Linked DNA regions of Drosophila melanogaster. The protein of the gene in region 1 interacts with the protein of each later gene in a pairwise test. Each region holds a gene or a part of one and is shown on either strand. Other genes may lie near its edges.

Region 1 (8,318 bases):
ATTGTAACGAAATGTTTCCGAAGTTATGTTTATTCGTTCGAGGCTAAACACATAAATCAAAAACAAACGCGGACAGCTTTTCTAGGTTTCTTTCTTGCCGAAAGGATTGATTTTAGACAGCCAACTGGAAGAGGGGGAGGATTCCCTGGAATAAATCATTGGTTAGGAAATTCATTACAGAAGTATTTGTGACTTACAGCTTTGTAAGCGCTTCGATATCCGAATCCTTGTGTTCGACCGACGATTCTGCTGCTAATGCATCCGGCTTCTCCAGCTTTCCCGCTTCGCTGATCCCCGCCTGGCGCAGCTGCTCGATAAGCTTTCCGCGGAACTCCAACTTATGCGGCACCACCTTTTCCGCTTCGCGCAGCTGCTTTTGCAGCTTGCGTATGGCCTCCAAATAGGTATGGCCGTACCAATCGATTTCCTCGGGCGTATATGGTTCCAGATAGCGGCGGTATTCCTTAAGCACTTCCTGTTGGCGTTCGGGCTCGTCGGCGAGGGCTGGAACACCGTTCTGCAGGGCCTGAAGCACCTCTCGCTTGAGTTTCAGAGCCAAAGCGGAGCGAAGATCGCAGGCACGATTCTTGAGGAGGTAGTGATCAAAGCCATGACATTCATGGATCTGCTCCAGCGTGCGTTCCGTCACCACCACGGACATGTAGCAGTCCAGCACATGACTATGGACCACCGAACGCCTAAGATTTGGTACCCAAAAGTGCGGCACGCGACGCTTTGTTTGCTCGCGTTTCTGAAAGCCCTTGATCACGGCCTCGCCACCCCAGATGCCACGGTGCGATTCCGGCGTATCGATCAATGGCAGCGGGATGTTCTGCACCGGCTTGATGGCGTGCGTCACCTCATCTCGTTCCCACTGCTGCTCCTTGGGGATATAATGGACCGCAGCCGGGGTCGTCAGCTTCCACTCGCGCCAGAACTTCCTGTACGCCTCGGGCAGCTGGGCTCCCAGACCCTTGTCAAAGCGACCCGGACGCTTCCATCCGTTTAATAGCTTTACGCCCTGCAGAAGGTTTAAACGCTTTGTTATTCCATGGGGTTTACGAAAGTTAACGCAGCTATTGCGTCACAGAAACGCGGCGCACTACCAGTTTCCTCTTTATTTTTGAGGCAATCACATACCTGTGGCGTGGCGTGTGCCATTTTTTAAGGAACGAACTAGCAGTTTACTGTTATTATTCACTATTAAAACTATAGTGGCAGTTTAAACTTGGCTATTAAACTATATTTTCCCTGATTTTGGCTAGGCCAACGGCGCTCTTCCTCTTCCTGTTTGGAAAAAACAGCTGTTCGTATGTGAATGGCTGGCAGCCAGGGTTGCCAGGTTTGAAAAGTATTTCGGAGACAGAGCTTCGTTCAATTTAGTTTTGTGAAATTTAGAAATGCTCGGCAAAAAATTGAGTTTCGAAGTAGTTCAACTTATTTATTATAATCAATATATGAAACAGTGCGCCAAGCCATACTCCGGCATAAGTACCATTCACGAGTAGCAAGAAATAAATTTATGCTGTCGGCAATTAAAATCGAAAAGCGGCTTACTTTCGCTATCAGAATGTAACATGTAAGTTACTAATGTATTAACAATTAAATATCCTTGAAAGAAACGCGATTTATTTTGACTACGTATAAAGCTTTTAGCAAATGCAATTAATTTTTTGGAAATTCTCACGCGGTTAGCCCAGCCTTGTTCAACCTGGCCTTAATCGTGTTTATCTTGAGCGGCAACAGCTGGAGCATTTCACGCACAACACCAATCTCGCCCTGCAGCGTCTCGGCCGCCTCCTTGTGCAGCTGGCAACCAGCATCGAATCTCTGGTAGTAGGTGTGGCAACTAGTTAGGTGCTCCAGCTGCTGGAGCGGATGGCCACTGATCAGCTTGTAGTAGATGCGACCGATGTGGAAGTGGGCGTAGAGCATGTGGCGTTGCTCCTCCACGTCCATGTTGGGTCGCCATTCCTCGCTGGGCGGTTTGACCAGATAGGATTTGACATAGCTCTCAAAGTGCTTGATGGCCTTCATACAGCTCTGATTGACCTTCTTGATGTCCTCCGGCGCTGGCGTGCTAGTGGCCCGAATGATGTCGAGACGGACATCCATCACGGCAGCATGAGCTGTGCCGGCTCCATACCAGCATTCTCGGCATATCTTCATGTAAAAGATGGGGTCAAGCAGATCCAAAAGATCTTCCAGATACTTGGCGCGACGCTTTTGCATCTTGGCCTGGTTTTCTGGATTCTCCTCGAAGAAGGCAATGTGCTCATACGCTTCGGCGTAATCCTGCATTATCTTTGAATACTCAGTAGCTTCGTTCTCGGCCTTGTAATAGTCCTTGGCTATGTCGAGCCACTCGTTCACAAAATGAAACACCAACTTGGCATCGTCGAAGGTCAGGCAGTATTCACAACTAATACGATTTTCACACGCGGTGAGGTCAAGTCCAGGAAACCGGGACTGTTCCGCCTCGACCAGCCGCATATTGCGCAGAACGATCTCCAGGTTCTTGGCATCCTCGTCATCTTCGTCCCGCATCAGCCGAAGCTTGGATGTGTTCATTAAATACAATCCATATTTGGCCCAACAGCGTGCCACATCGGCGTAGCGATGTTTAAAGGTCTCCGACACGTCCTGGCGCTGCTTCTCGCTCATCTCCGGCTCCAGCATGTGCACCTCATATTCGGCCATGATGAGCGTAGCAGCGGCCAGGTGATGACGGGCCTCCTCGAAGCGCTTCTCTCCAATATAGAACTGTGACAAGGTGGCGGTGTTCAGTGCGAAATCAATGGGATCGTATGTTTTTGACTCAAGCTGTCGATGGAGGGTGCGATGGCAGCACTTGGCCGACTTTTCCGGCTCACCCAAATGCCCGTACATTTGCGCCATGTAAAATGAGACTAGCGTGTACAGGGATTCCAGTTCCTTGGGACCAGCTTCGTGAGATTGTTGTCCCTCCTCCGGAGGATTGAACACATCTTGAATGGCCAGGGGCTTCAGACCACTGGCTTTGAAGTCCTCGTAGATTTTTTCTGCCTCCAGGAGAATTTCCAGTCCCTTATTGTACTCTTCCTTGGAGGCCAGCACAATGCTAAGCTCGTTGATTGCCCCAATGAATGGAATGATGCCCTCAGGGCACTCCTTAAACGGCGTGACTAGTTCCAGACAACGATTGAGCATCTTTTCGCCCTCTGCCTGCTCCTCTGTGTAGATGTAGATCCTGCCTAGATCCCGGCAAACGAAGGCCAACAGAGAGTGATAGCAGCGATCGTCCTGACCACCGTCCTCCTCGCTGGCCTGCACAGATACCAGTTGGTCGTCCAGCTGCTTCTTCAAGACAATTAGCACATCGCGCGCTTTATAATGGGAGCGGAATGGATCCGTGGGCGGATCATTGCGGCTCTCCTCCTCCACCAGACGGTTGGCCTTCTCGTATAGCTCCTTGAAGTCGCTTAGGATCTCCTTTGGAATGACCATGTTGGCTGAGCACCCACGGTGCAGGCAAAAGCTATCCTGAATTCGGCAAAGCCTTTTTATTTACTATATTTTTTCTCTATGAGTGTGTAGTGTGGCCGTATTGTGACTGCTTAAACTTTACCTGAGACCCAAACCATGAAAGAATATTTTATTTAAAATCTCAAACTAAATTAATTTGAACTATGTACAAGTAAGGTATTTTCAAAAAGTACATAACACAACCATAAACGCCTCTAATATAAACTTGAAGGCATAAAATGTTTATATAAACAAAACAGCTTAGTGTGACCGTTGCGCAGCAACCTCTATGTCGCAACCCTGGAATTAATTGCTGGTATTATAACGTATTCGATTACAGTCACACCGCATCGACTTTCAGATTTTTTTCGCGTCGCAAATTTTTGGAATATACCAAAATATTTACCACCATCAGCTATTAAAGACTGCTTTTGGCGCTCATCTTTCAAAGAATACTTTTCCACAAATCAGACAAGCTTCATCCGAAAGCGGGCACAATGCTGAAGGGTTACAAGACGGATGAGGACAAGAAGGTGAAGCGACTGTACCACCAACGCTATCGCACAGAGTGGGAGAAATATCCGGAGCTCTCCAGCTGGCTGGCGTCTAGTAATGACGGTTACTCGGCGCACTGCAAGATCTGCGACATCAATGTCCTCGCCAGACTAGCGTCCATCAAGCAGCACCTCGCAACGCGGAAACACCAGGAAAGTTTCAAGTACCACAACATTCTTGCCAAGGTGGGATTGGGTTTGTGCATAAGCAATAGGAATGACCCGTGTCCATTATTGATTCAAATATTTTGCGATCCAAACTAAATTTCAAACACGATTTTTGTGTGAGTTTTCGCCATACTTTTCGTTAACTATTCCATTGACTACTTCTTGTGCAATGGTTAACCAAACCAGTAGCTCCCTCTATGCGATGCACAACTTATCGCTCCAAAAAAAAAATTCTCATCTCATTACTAATTTACATAAAATTAACAACTCCGTATTTATACCTACAGAATATGATTAAGGGTGAACTTGTCAAAGATGAGCATGACCCAGACTTGGAGGCCTCCATAATTTCACCCAAAGCAAAGCCCAAAGCCAAATCAAAGACCTATCCAAGGCAAAAGCCAAGGAGCAAAATGCAGCCAAAGATCAAGAACGACACGAAGGTGGAGAGCATGGAGGAGGAGACGGAGGAGGACGAAATCGCCTCGAACGACTCAATCCTGGATGATTTACTCAGAACAGATCAGCCCTATCAAGAGCAAGAATTTGAGGTTGAGAACGAGTTCCTCGAAGTACAACAGAATGAAACAGATCTCCAGGACCAAGAGGTGGTCTACGAGGAAGAGATGATACAGCTCAAGCCGGAAGATACGGAGATTAATAACGAATACCAAGTCGACGCGATGACGGAAGACACCATTATTAGTGAATTTGACTTGTTTGGCAAGAGTTTGGCTCTGCAGCTGAACAACATGGACCTGGAGGACGCACTAATGTGCCAGGAGCGTCTGCAGGTGGTCCTAACGGAATTTCGCCTGAAGGTGCTCAAGCGCAAGAGAGAGCAAGCACGATCTTCGTAGGCTTACAATTTATATCAAGCTGTCTTATGTACATAATATAATTTCTTTAACAACTAAATAAATAACTATTCTGCCTCAATTTCGTCAATTAGCGCCCGGCACTTTCTCTTCAATACCTTGACCGCCTCCAGGAAGATGACATCGGGCTTCAGTGCGCCGACTGATTCCACGGAGAAAATGTAGTGATCTCGGATACGGGCCAAAGTCACAGCGTCGTTTAGCTGGGGATAGCGATACACATTTCGGCTGCACGTGTCGTAGCGTGCATCCTTTACATAGGCAGTTTCATTCTCGTCAATGCCAATTACTCCTGGTGAGAAACAGTTCTGTAATAGGTACGCATCCTTACCGGTCACCTCGCGGTTCAGCTTAATCATGGGCAGCAGTCGGTAGGTGGCCGTGGCCACCGGCGAGAATTTCGCGTGATCCCGTCCAAGTCCCTTAACCGCCACCAGGCGCAGATCCAACTCGTGACCCGGACGCAATTGGGCAATCAGTATGTCATCGTGAATGCAGTTCACAGCACTCTCGCTGTATATCTGCGCCTGCTTTCCTTTGGGCAGCCACTTCAGATGACCCGAGTACACTTTGTGGTTTTTGTAAATGTCATCGAAGTTGGACTGATCTTTTCCAGCATCCCGTCGCCGCGAGCACTTCACCTTCAGCTCAAATTCAAGCGTATCCTGCTCGGTCCCCGCCTCAGTGCTTTCCTCGGTGCGGTATGCGAATAGACGGGGATCAGCCCGCAACGGAAGTAGACCCATTCGATGGGCAAGTACCTCGTCCTGGATGATCGAGGTGTTGTTGTATATGTACACCTTTTCGATGGCCATGCTGGGCACATCGCTGAGCATCAGGCGACGGAAGGCATTTGCAATGGCGGGATACACGCCAATCAGATCGAACTCCAGGCCGTCTTCGTCGTTTCTAGAAGTGAACACCAATTGTTAATCGACTCGTAAGATTCTAATTTCTATTGAGATTTACCTGACGATTTTGATGTGCAGCTTTTCCTTGAAAGCCTGAACGGAAAATACATCGTCCGCCAGTCCATAGTCCTGCGGATCCTGCTTCACCCGATACTCCTCCATGTACAGAAGCGGCTCCTTGCGATTTTTGCTTGCCATTTGCCCCGGTGTTTTTATTAAATAATTTAACAAAATTGAACCGCACGTGTTGGAATCAATAAGACCGCCTTCTAATACCAAAATATACCAAACTAACTAACAAACTAACTAATATACTAAATAAATATACTTTATGTACTAAATAAATGCTGTTTCGCCGTGACTGGCTGAATAGGAAGAAGCAGCAGGACACCGGCGATATTTTTATTTCTCCAGAAGATTTACGTAAAGCCTTCAAATTTCTGAAACCGGGCGTAAGATGTCCCGCTCCCTGCAACGCTTAGTGGGCAGCTGTCGTCGCTGGGCACAACAGCCCGCAATTCGTCATTATGCCGCTCCCGCAGATTCCACTAAAGGCAAGGGTCCGATCTCTTGGAGAAGTCTGGCCGTCATTGGAGCCCTTGGAGCCGGAGGAGTGGGCTTCATGCTGTACGTGAAGAGCGAGAAGGATGAGGCGAGAATGAAGGAGCGTCAGCGGCAATTGGGAAAAGCAGCCATCGGCGGCAGTTGGGAATTAGTTGATTCGCAGGGAGCTGTTCGCAAATCGGAGGACTTCTTAGGCAAGTGGCTGCTCATCTATTTTGGCTTCACCCACTGCCCGGATATTTGTCCCGATGAGCTAGAGAAGATGGCCGCCGTCGTCGATGAAGTTGGTAAGTAGAGCCTGACTATTTCTTCCAAACCCAAAAAAAACCATGTTTCTCAAACCTTCACAGAAAAGTCCCCGCAAACGCCAGCAGTGCAGCCCATCTTTATCACCGTTGACCCAGAACGTGACTCCAAAGAGGTGGTGGCCAAATACGTAAAAGAGTTCTCCCCCAAACTGCTGGGACTCACGGGAACCGTCGAACAAATCCGCAAAGTGTGCAAGGCCTTCAGGGTTTATTTCAGCGCTGGACCGCGGGACGAGGACAACGATTATATTGTGGATCACACCATCATCATGTACCTGGTCAATCCCGATGGCGAGTTTGTCGATTACTACGGCCAAAATCGGGACAAGGACCAGTGTGTGGCATCCATTTTGGTGAACATAGCCAAGTGGAATTCAATGAACAAAAAGGGATGGTTCAGCTAGGCTGGCTAAGCTAGGCAAATGTTGTTTCGTTGTATTTACTTAATGTATGGCATAAAATATGGTTTTTACTTGATGTATATCAAGTTTTAAATCCAAATTTTCGTTTATATTGGCTATACCTTAAGTTCTAGATTGTAAAAATTTCTGGTTGTTCAAAATAAACTTGATTAACGGTATTTTTTAGATCCCCCTGGTATATCGAAGTGAGATTTTGACTAGGCCACGGTCACACTGCTCTTTTGGCGTGTAGTGCTGCGTGGATGTTGTTGCAAAAATATTCGTTTTCTCGCAACAAATAACAATATAATACAAAATGGTGCGTGCCTGGTCAATGACTACACAGTTTGCATTATTCCGGATGGGTTTCTTTAGAATTTACCCGAAATTACAACTATTTGCAAAGTGTGAAAGTCGTGTGAAATTCCGGACCAAACATAACCTTAAAAGCGGCCTAAATTGTTGCTAAAAATTCGTATTATTCTGTCTTTTATAGCGTCCGTTGATGCTTCAGGGCCACGAGCGTTCCATAACGCAAATCAAGTACAACCGCGAGGGCGACCTGCTCTTCTCCTGCTCCAAGGATCAGAAGCCCAATGTGTGGTACTCGCTGAACGGAGAACGTTTGGGCACCTACGATGGTCACCAGGGTGCGGTCTGGTGCCTGGATGTGGACTGGGAGAGCCGTAAGCTCATCACCGGCGCCGGTGATATGACCGCTAAGATCTGGGACGTCGAGTACGGCACCGTTATCGCCTCCATTCCGACCAAGTCATCGGTGCGCACCAGCAACTTCAGCTTCTCGGGCAACCAGGCAGCCTACTCAACGGACAAAGCGATGGGACAGAGCTGTGAACTGTTCCTCATCGATGTCCGCAACGCCGATTCCTCGTTGTCGGAGCAGGAGCCCACACTCCGCATCCCGATGACCGAGTCCAAAATTACGTCGATGTTGTGGGGTCCTCTGGATGAGACCATCATCACAGGTTGGTGTTTACCCGATAATCTATTATGAAAACCGTTTAAAACC
Region 2 (4,934 bases), about 12 Mb from region 1:
ACGTGCTGTCAAAGCTAAATACATCAAGAATGACTTCGAGTGGTGGTTAAGGCTGCGAAAAACATCGAAAAAGTTCTGCAAAGTTGGGGCATAGAAGCGACAAAATAATGAGGACAGCGAAATTATTCCTATTCCATTTTTAAGGGAATATACAGTTATTAAAATAAAATATTTTCATACCCAACTTTACTTGGTTAGTCCAAATATTTGTATAGCCCTTTAAGGAGTTTATTATGTTGTAACTTGGATAGAATGGATTCCAGAATAGTTCCGGAAATGACTTGAAACTGTATTTCCGGCTTTCACATTTAATTTACATTTTAGCGTGGACACCTACCGCAATGGTTTGGTTATATGCTAACGCTTTCCTTAAGCTCTTGTAAAAGTTTTGTAAGTACTAGTGTTATACGGAGATTTTGTTAACAATTTCATTGAAGTATTTACATACGTAAGAATTTCAACAGAAATGTATCCTCCCAGTCGGGTTCATTTAAAAGGATTAACGGTATTTTGAAAAATAAATTATACAAAAAGATTTACAATCTATAACGTAGCTTAGAAAATGAATTTCAATTATCATTTTATTATATATTTTATAGAAATTGACTTGAATAATGTGGTGTCCATTGCAAAACGGATTAGCAGGACTAGACTTATATTACGAGTCATTTTTCGATTCTCCCACTTATGTATATTGTTCAATTGACCTTTGATAATACAAAATTGCCTAGATTTCAAATAATATTACGTATACTAAAATTTATATATGTATGAAGTTGTTAGCCAGTTTCTTTCTTTTTTTTTCCATGAAATATTGAAATCTTCCTTCCGTTTTGCTTTGAAGTTCAAGTTATTTATTATTTGTTGTATTCTGCAAACAGCTGTTTGCATTTCGGCCGGCGTCGCAAAAGCAACAATTTTCAACCGCGTAAAGCTTTTGGCCTCTTGAGCCATAATTTCATACAGGTTGCAGGCTTGGAAAAATAACTCAATCTGGACTCACCTACTCACTCTCACTCTCTCCCTCTCCCTCTTCCAACCTTTCCTTTATTCACTCACTCTCCCACGCGATTTTTGGAACAAAAACGACGGCAGAGGAAATGCAGCGCAGTCGACGCCAAAAGGGATATTTTATATTATATATTAAGCCCGTCCTTAAATATGAATTTCCCAATCCTATTCTTATTCAAATTATAAAATGTATATTTAGCTTTAAGTTTAAAATATTGTTAAGTCGTACTCGGCTTCATTACGTAAATATCTTATTCATATAATTTTTGTACACGTAGTGTCACATGATAGAGTAATCAAATAAATGCATTTGGTAATAAGCTGATCTTCTGGACATTCAAATAACTATGCTCAAAAACCTTGCTGGCCCTTGATTCACTTAATAACTCAATTTTAGGACTTTCAGTGGGTGGAAATTTCCCTGGCACCCACGCAAACGAACGGGTTAAAAGATAGTGAAAAAGAGAGAGCGCACGAAAGCAACAATTGCTTACTCTTATGCACAAAGAAAAAATACTAACAACTTCAATTTTTGCATTGAATTACATAGAATTCGATAGAAAAGCCCAGGTCAAATAAAAAATTAAAACAATAATTTAGATAACGACTTATTTGATGTTAGATATTAGATTTAATTCGGTTAATGGGTAAGTTAGAAGAAATAATGTAAATTTTTGCATTGCAATAATGAAGCAATGAAACAAGCTTTACGTTAACGTCACATGAACTACCGTTAGCGAGCGAACAGTGCAGAAAGCGCTCAAGAGCGCGGAGCATTCCAATGCGTTGGAGTAAGAGCGTGCAGAATTCGTGGGAGCAAATTGGCGCCCGAATCAGCCGCTTTTCGTAACTCACTCAATGCGAATTGTTTTCAAGCGCCGGAGAGAATCTATATAGAGGGGCTTCTCCGACTCGCTTCGAATATGTTTTTCGCAGCGCGCGCGTTCGCATCGGAAAATCAGAAAAGCTGGCAAGCGTTTAAAAACAAATTCGGCAGGTACAATTGTTACTTGTTTTCCCCTCAGTTGACTATTTCGTCGCAGGTTTTTGGCCAGCGGAAACCATCGTAATAACCGTTTATCGTTATTTTATTATATTCGCGTAAATCGTTGTTTGTTCAACCACAGAATACTTGTTGTTACGCATTTCGAAAATGGAAATGCGAAAATTTCCAAGCAGTGAAAATCAAAACGAATAAAATATATTGGCTGCTTTTCGTGTTTAGCGCGTACGTGTGTGTTTCTGTGTTAGTGAGTGCAGCAAGAAATAAAACCAAAAAGCAACAAATAAATAAATAGAAAACAAAAGCAAAATCAAATCCAAATTCAAAGGCAAATACTTGCAAAGTAAGTTGATAATATCAGAGTGTGGTGCTAGCATATGTTGCATTATTTTGCCCAGCAATTTACATGTTTTTCACATTTTCTTCTCTCACAAATGACAACTAACTAATATGGATGATATTAACGGTGTTTAGAGTTGGCTTTTCCATTGAGAAATATGAAAAAATGCGTTCAATATGTTAGCGTACACACACACACAAGCGGCGGCTAACTGTTGTTTGTGTGTATGTGGGTGAATTGGCAATAACGCGCACGTGTATTAGTGTGTGTTTGTTTTTGTTGCCTTTGCGGCCAAGTGGCAGCAAAACGTTGCAAGCAACAAAAACAATAACTACGATGGCAAAACAAGTGCAGTCAGCAAAACCAACTCAACCAGTGCCTCTCGCGCTCTCCCACTCTCTCTCTCTCTAATACCCAAGCCCACCTCCTGCTCCCACACTCACCCTTCTCCCTCGCACCCATTGACGCAACTGCATGGTCAGGGCTTCTTTTACTGTTACAAAGCTCATGCGTGGACCCAATAGCAAAATGAATGCACGATGTACTTAGTTCATTAATTCCGCCAAATCAGAAATTATAATTATAAATGTACGAGTTTAATGGATTAAAGTTAGGTGTACGTAATTTTTTTAATTGTATGACCACTTTGGTGAAGCATAACCGTGGTATGAAGCTATTACAATTTCATGAACTTGGCGGCATAAACTTTGCAATTTACTATCTATGGTCGTCTTTGGATTTTTGGCTTCGCGCTTTTTGCTCTTCGAAGTGCGCTGCTCTCTTTGCGCCAAACAAAGCTCGGCCGACACTTGTCGCGTCTTTTGGATATCTGGCCTCCTCCCACCGCCCACTGCCTCTTTACATATATCTTTTACATTTTTTGCTTTCATACACTGAATAAAATTATGGGTATATACCGTACTATCAAATGTTTCTGAGTAAAAATTAATTTAAATAAAAAATTTAATTATATAATTATAAAATTATTATATAATCACTTGTATTTAATGTTGTATGTGTTGCAAATCCATTAATACTTTTAAACTTCTAGGCTTAAAAACAAATGTCTGTGAAAAAAGTGGAATTCTTGGAAAGTGTATCTCTTTGGCTTTTCCACCTCGAGGCGTTTTCGCTTGAAGCTTTTGCGAGTTTGGTTCGATTTCCATTTGCGTTTAATTGCATTTATGCATTTTTAATCGAGTTTGACTTTGGTGAGCTTTTTACTTTGGCATATGCTAGATTGTCGCCCAGACACACGGGGTTTTTTTGGGTGAAAATGGGCTCTTGCTGATCCAAAAGATAAGTTTCAGTTTCGTCCTTCTTGGTAGTGAGATGTTTGGACAAAGTTTTCTAATTGGCCTTGACGCCGTTTTCAGAGTTTTAGTGCTACTAAAAGGCAAGAGTGCGAACTTTCTGCGTCTTTAATAAGATAATTTATTTGCAATTATAATTTGGTTCATTAAAGTTAATTGAATTAAGGGCAGGCGTTACATTCCAACCAAATGGAATGACAATGGGTGTGGGGTTAAAGATAAAAGGATTTTAGTTAGTGAGGAATATATTTTGTGATAATAACGGGTAATTAAATTTTTTTTTATTTTAAACTGAACCGCTATTAGGCAATTTTGGGCATTAAATAGTTAAAAGCTTTAGATACACAGTTTCAATGCGGTATACAAAACTTCATTAATTTTCGATTAATCTAGTATTTTTATACTATAATTTAAAAACCTTACGTCATTTATTGTTTTAAATCAAATTTTAAATTTAAATATTTTAAGATATTCCACTTCTCCAAAGAGGTTTTTTTCGAACAATTTTTAACTCACAGCCAACAGCTGTTGCATCCTAAGCAAACATTTGTATGTTTAACTTAGTCCTCTTGAAAGCTCAATTAAAGTCGCGTGTATAACCGCCCACTACCCAGGGATTCTCTAAACTTCTACACTCCGAACACACACGCCAAGTTTGCAACTTGGCATATGTTTATCTGCTAATCATGGAAATGCGATGCGGTGTTGCAAAATATTTATCTAGAAACGGTTGACTAAAAAAGAGGGAAATAAGCGAAACAGCTTTTCAGCCAAACTGCAAATGGGAAAGCAGCCCCCTTACCGGTTTCCCACTTTTCCGGCACGGCGACCATATGCCAAAAAGCTGAACCAAAAATCGCACACACATTTGGGGATAAAACGCGATGCGAAAAAAGCATAAGTAGGCTGCTGTGACATTTCGTTGTCTGGGTATACGCTCATCGCGAACAAGGATACAGGAGCATTAGGGTGGAGCAATTTGTTCGAAGCTAAATATAAAAAACTTCAATATTGATTAAACTTGTTCATGCATATAGGACTTAAACTAAGTAAAGATCTGAACTAAAATTAAGTGCTTTTTTTTTAATAGAAGAAATATTAAGATCAGCTATTTTTGCGGACTGTTGATTTCCTTTTAGCGCTTAAACCTTTATAAGAATATACTTGGCATTTCAAGACTTTCGTAAATTCAGAACTTGGCTTAGATTGACGCACCCTGATAAAAGCACACTTATAAAGGCACACATTTGTATATCCGCACATCGGC
Region 3 (3,302 bases), on another chromosome or scaffold:
AAGCACTTGCTCTATAACCGGTAAGTGGATAGGTTTTGAACATTTTATCATATTTGAATTTTTAATCCTTGACTGCCCATTTGCAGGTTCAATATCTTCAAATCGGAATACATACAGAGGTCTCTCTTTGAGGATGTGAACGTGAATAGTTGCTTCGGATTTACCCGGCTTTGCGATTTATCTGTGGGAGATATGGTAGAAGTAACTTTAAATGGACTGATAGATTTGTGAGTATTCCTATACCCTTTACCTGTAAGTAACATGTTTATAATAGCAAAATTCGCAAATGTCGTGCTCCTTTGTTTGATAATAACAAATGGTTAAATACTTACAATACTTACGTTTGTTTTTCTACAGTCTTTTGCATTATCGAAGAGTTTTGGAGAAATACCCACTGCTGGCCTACCGTCGCTTTTGGTGGAAAAAGCAGCCGGACAGTAGATATCAACTGCTGGAGCCGATGTTGGAAAACAAACTAGCTCTCGACTATATGCCACCAAACAGTGTCCTTAAGAACTTCATATTCACAGCAATGGTATAATTATTTATATTTATAAATTTTTATTCGAACAATTTATACAATGATTTATGCTTAAAGACCGCCAACGAAAGCAGCGTTTACGCATTTGGCGATTACTTTACGTACAATATGCAGGAAACTATCGAACACCGTGTAATTCGGTCAAAGATTCTGAAGAAGAAAACGTCGCTAATCGAGGAGATGGAGGATGTGTCCAAGCAAAAGCTGGAAATCGAGTCTGTGGAGGTGCAAACAAAGTCGAATGCCAAAAGCGATGTTAAGGTGACGACGCTGCTGCTGCTACCAGAGTTTCCGCATCGCCCACGAAAGCCAAGAAAATACGTATGCGAACCGCTTTCCATGCCACGAATACTTTACGATTTGGGACAAAAAGTTCAAGCTGTGCATAGATATTTATAGTAAGTTTCAAATGGATTCATCGAAACCGATCCAGGTTTTTAACTTTTTTTATATCAATTTTAGCTGCGATAGTCGATCTGCAGCGTGGTCCCAGATTCGCCACAATCAGTGTGAGAATAGCCAGGGCAGGGAGCTTGTCTCCAGTGGATTGGCCTTGTGCAAGCCTCATGGTGGATGGTCCTCGATTGTGGTGCCCGACAAGGAAACCCTGATTACCGATGCTGGTAAGCTTTTTGTTCTTGACAACTTGCTAACTCGATTGAAGGCGAATGGACATCGAGTACTCATATACTCGCAGATGACCAAGATGATAGACCTGCTCGAGGTAAGTTTATTAAACTTGAAACGATCACTGTTCAGTTTAATTTTTTGATAAAATGTCTAGGAGTACATGTGGCACCGCAAGCATCGCTATATGCGCCTGGATGGCTCAAGCAAGATATCCGCTCGTCGCGATATGGTTGCCGATTTTCAAACGAGAGCAGATATCTTCGTGTTCTTACTGTCTACGAGAGCCGGAGGACTGGGAATTAATTTAACAGCCGCCGATACGGTGAGTTCATATTATACTTACTTTTTCATTTATGTATATTGATGTACAATATCAATTTTTTTTACCGTGCCTTTCAAAAAAGTTTGTCCCTTGTTTCGATTTCGTTTAATTTTTTCTTGAAATCACATTGTGAATTTATATTAGTGCCTTTTAAAAACTTTTCACTCATACGCTCTCCGAAATTTCTATTGTATTAGTCAAATCCATTCATTTTCAACAATAACTTTAAGTAGTCCAAATTTCAAGTTCATTTCAAATGCATAACAACAGCTGTTTAGAACCCATGGACAGGACCAAGACTACGAAACTTCCTCAGCTCAAGTCCAGCGTTACTCCCTACAGACCAAAGCCGAACCTAATCCGTAGTGATTCCCCGAAATTAGAGAACGATAAGCGTAATGGGCTGGACTTGGAGCTTCTGGATAATCCAGAGATACCGAGCGTAAAGCGAGTACGATGGGCTCCGATGTATGGGGAAAGGAGCCCGAGTAAGACCGGCTTTACCAGCGTTCCACTAAGCTCCAAAAAGGCGCAGTTTGATCATGATACGACAGATGAGTTAATACTGGCTAACGAGCTTCGATTAGCGGTGCATCGTGGGGGAGGTTCCATAGATCCCGACAAGAACTACGAGCTGAGGGCTCGACTGTCGCCCTTGCAATTGCCGTACAGTCGAGTGCAGCGAATTCTGAAGGAGTGCGAGTTGAGCGAGAGGAATCATCACACCTATAGTATACCCATGGACTATGGGCGGCAATTGGTTGCCATGGTTTGCAAGATCAGGACGGATAATCTCCCCGAACTGAAACTTCGCTTGGCCTCCTTACTGCGGCAAAACAAAGCGCGCTTCTTCAATCGACATTTATTCAACGAAACTGGCTTGATTGAGGCCACATTGCCGAGCGTAACACCATTAAGCTTTGAGGAATTCAATCAAACGTTGCGAATTGATGCTTTGTGGTGCAAAGCCACCGATAGTACCATTACCGATTTGGCCAAAGGATCTGTTTTGTTCAAATGTCGGCCTCTGGACCTGCAAGAGGTCGCGTACAAACTCAGGCAGTGCAACTACAAGATTGTACATAAGGAGGTTGGACACTGTCCAAACAAGCCGCTCGTCGAGTTAAATGATCGTCAAATGGCCCGCTATCAGGAGTTTCGTAAAAACCTTCTTCAAGACATAGATGTCGTAAAGATCTATGACAATGTGCGTGTCCAGTAGTTCAAGTCAGTTCGGCAAAAATCACAAGTAATTTTAAATTATCAAAAGTTTAAATTATCCGTAATACAAAACTCTTAATGACCCTCTAGAACTTTATCGTATAAACTATTTGTATAGTTTATTGTAAAGAATGTTTTCTCTATTTTTTTTTAAAGTGTGTTTTGATCAGTACTCTATTCAAGTACGAAAAATAGCCATATGTTTTCACATATGAGAGCGTAATTATAATTGGGACTGCTTTGAGTAGGTACTCAAACGTCGAATATATAAGCGGTGACTAATTTGGAAAGTCAAATAAATTTTAAATATAGTACTATGACTTCTTCCAAAATGTTTTATATTTTTTCATATGCAGGCTTAGCTCTTAGTTCTCTACATTATAGTAATTGTTCCCCATTCATTTGATGATTTATAGACAGGTTTGGGACAATATTTTACACGTCAGTATAGAGAGAGAAATTCCTTTGCCATTGTCCCGATCTCGGTGGCGGAAAAACCCTGTGTGGCTCTTGTATTCATTTGCTAAACTACTTGTTCATGCACTGCGGCAATCGATGGTGAATCTTGAGCAAGGGGTGGTGACGGGT

Evidence for each region.
Region 2: the proteins of l(2)05714 (region 1) and mtgo interact in a two-hybrid assay, tested with the Drosophila melanogaster proteins (one large-scale study listed by BioGRID).
Region 3: the proteins of l(2)05714 (region 1) and CG31244 interact in a two-hybrid assay, tested with the Drosophila melanogaster proteins (one large-scale study listed by BioGRID).

Annotation. Positions count from the first base shown.
Region 1 is NT_033779.5:4,966,980-4,975,297, reverse strand, and holds l(2)05714 (lethal (2) 05714), read left to right. Parts: upstream 1-3,812; 5' UTR 3,813-4,001; coding exon 4,002-4,244; intron 4,245-4,513; coding exon 4,514-5,086; 3' UTR 5,087-5,151; downstream 5,152-8,318. Other genes in the region: mRpL28 (mitochondrial ribosomal protein L28), read right to left, coding at 82-145, 198-1,021, 1,141-1,161; CG14043 (uncharacterized protein), read right to left, coding at 1,684-3,486; Polr1C (RNA polymerase I and III subunit C), read right to left, coding at 5,152-6,013, 6,074-6,213; Scox (synthesis of cytochrome c oxidase), read left to right, coding at 6,473-6,866, 6,930-7,291; eIF3i (eukaryotic translation initiation factor 3 subunit i), read left to right, coding at 7,605-7,607, 7,785-8,274.
Region 2 is NT_033779.5:16,543,082-16,548,015, forward strand, and holds the start of mtgo (miles to go), read left to right. Parts: upstream 1-1,934; 5' UTR 1,935-2,357; intron 2,358-4,934. Other genes in the region: CG31816 (uncharacterized protein), read left to right, coding at 1-94.
Region 3 is NT_033777.3:19,396,930-19,400,231, reverse strand, and holds CG31244 (uncharacterized protein), read left to right. Parts: upstream 1-1,664; 5' UTR 1,665-1,749; coding exon 1,750-2,715; 3' UTR 2,716-2,802; downstream 2,803-3,302. Other genes in the region: INO80 complex subunit, read left to right, coding at 1-20, 87-227, 358-535, 599-939, 1,004-1,265, 1,326-1,493.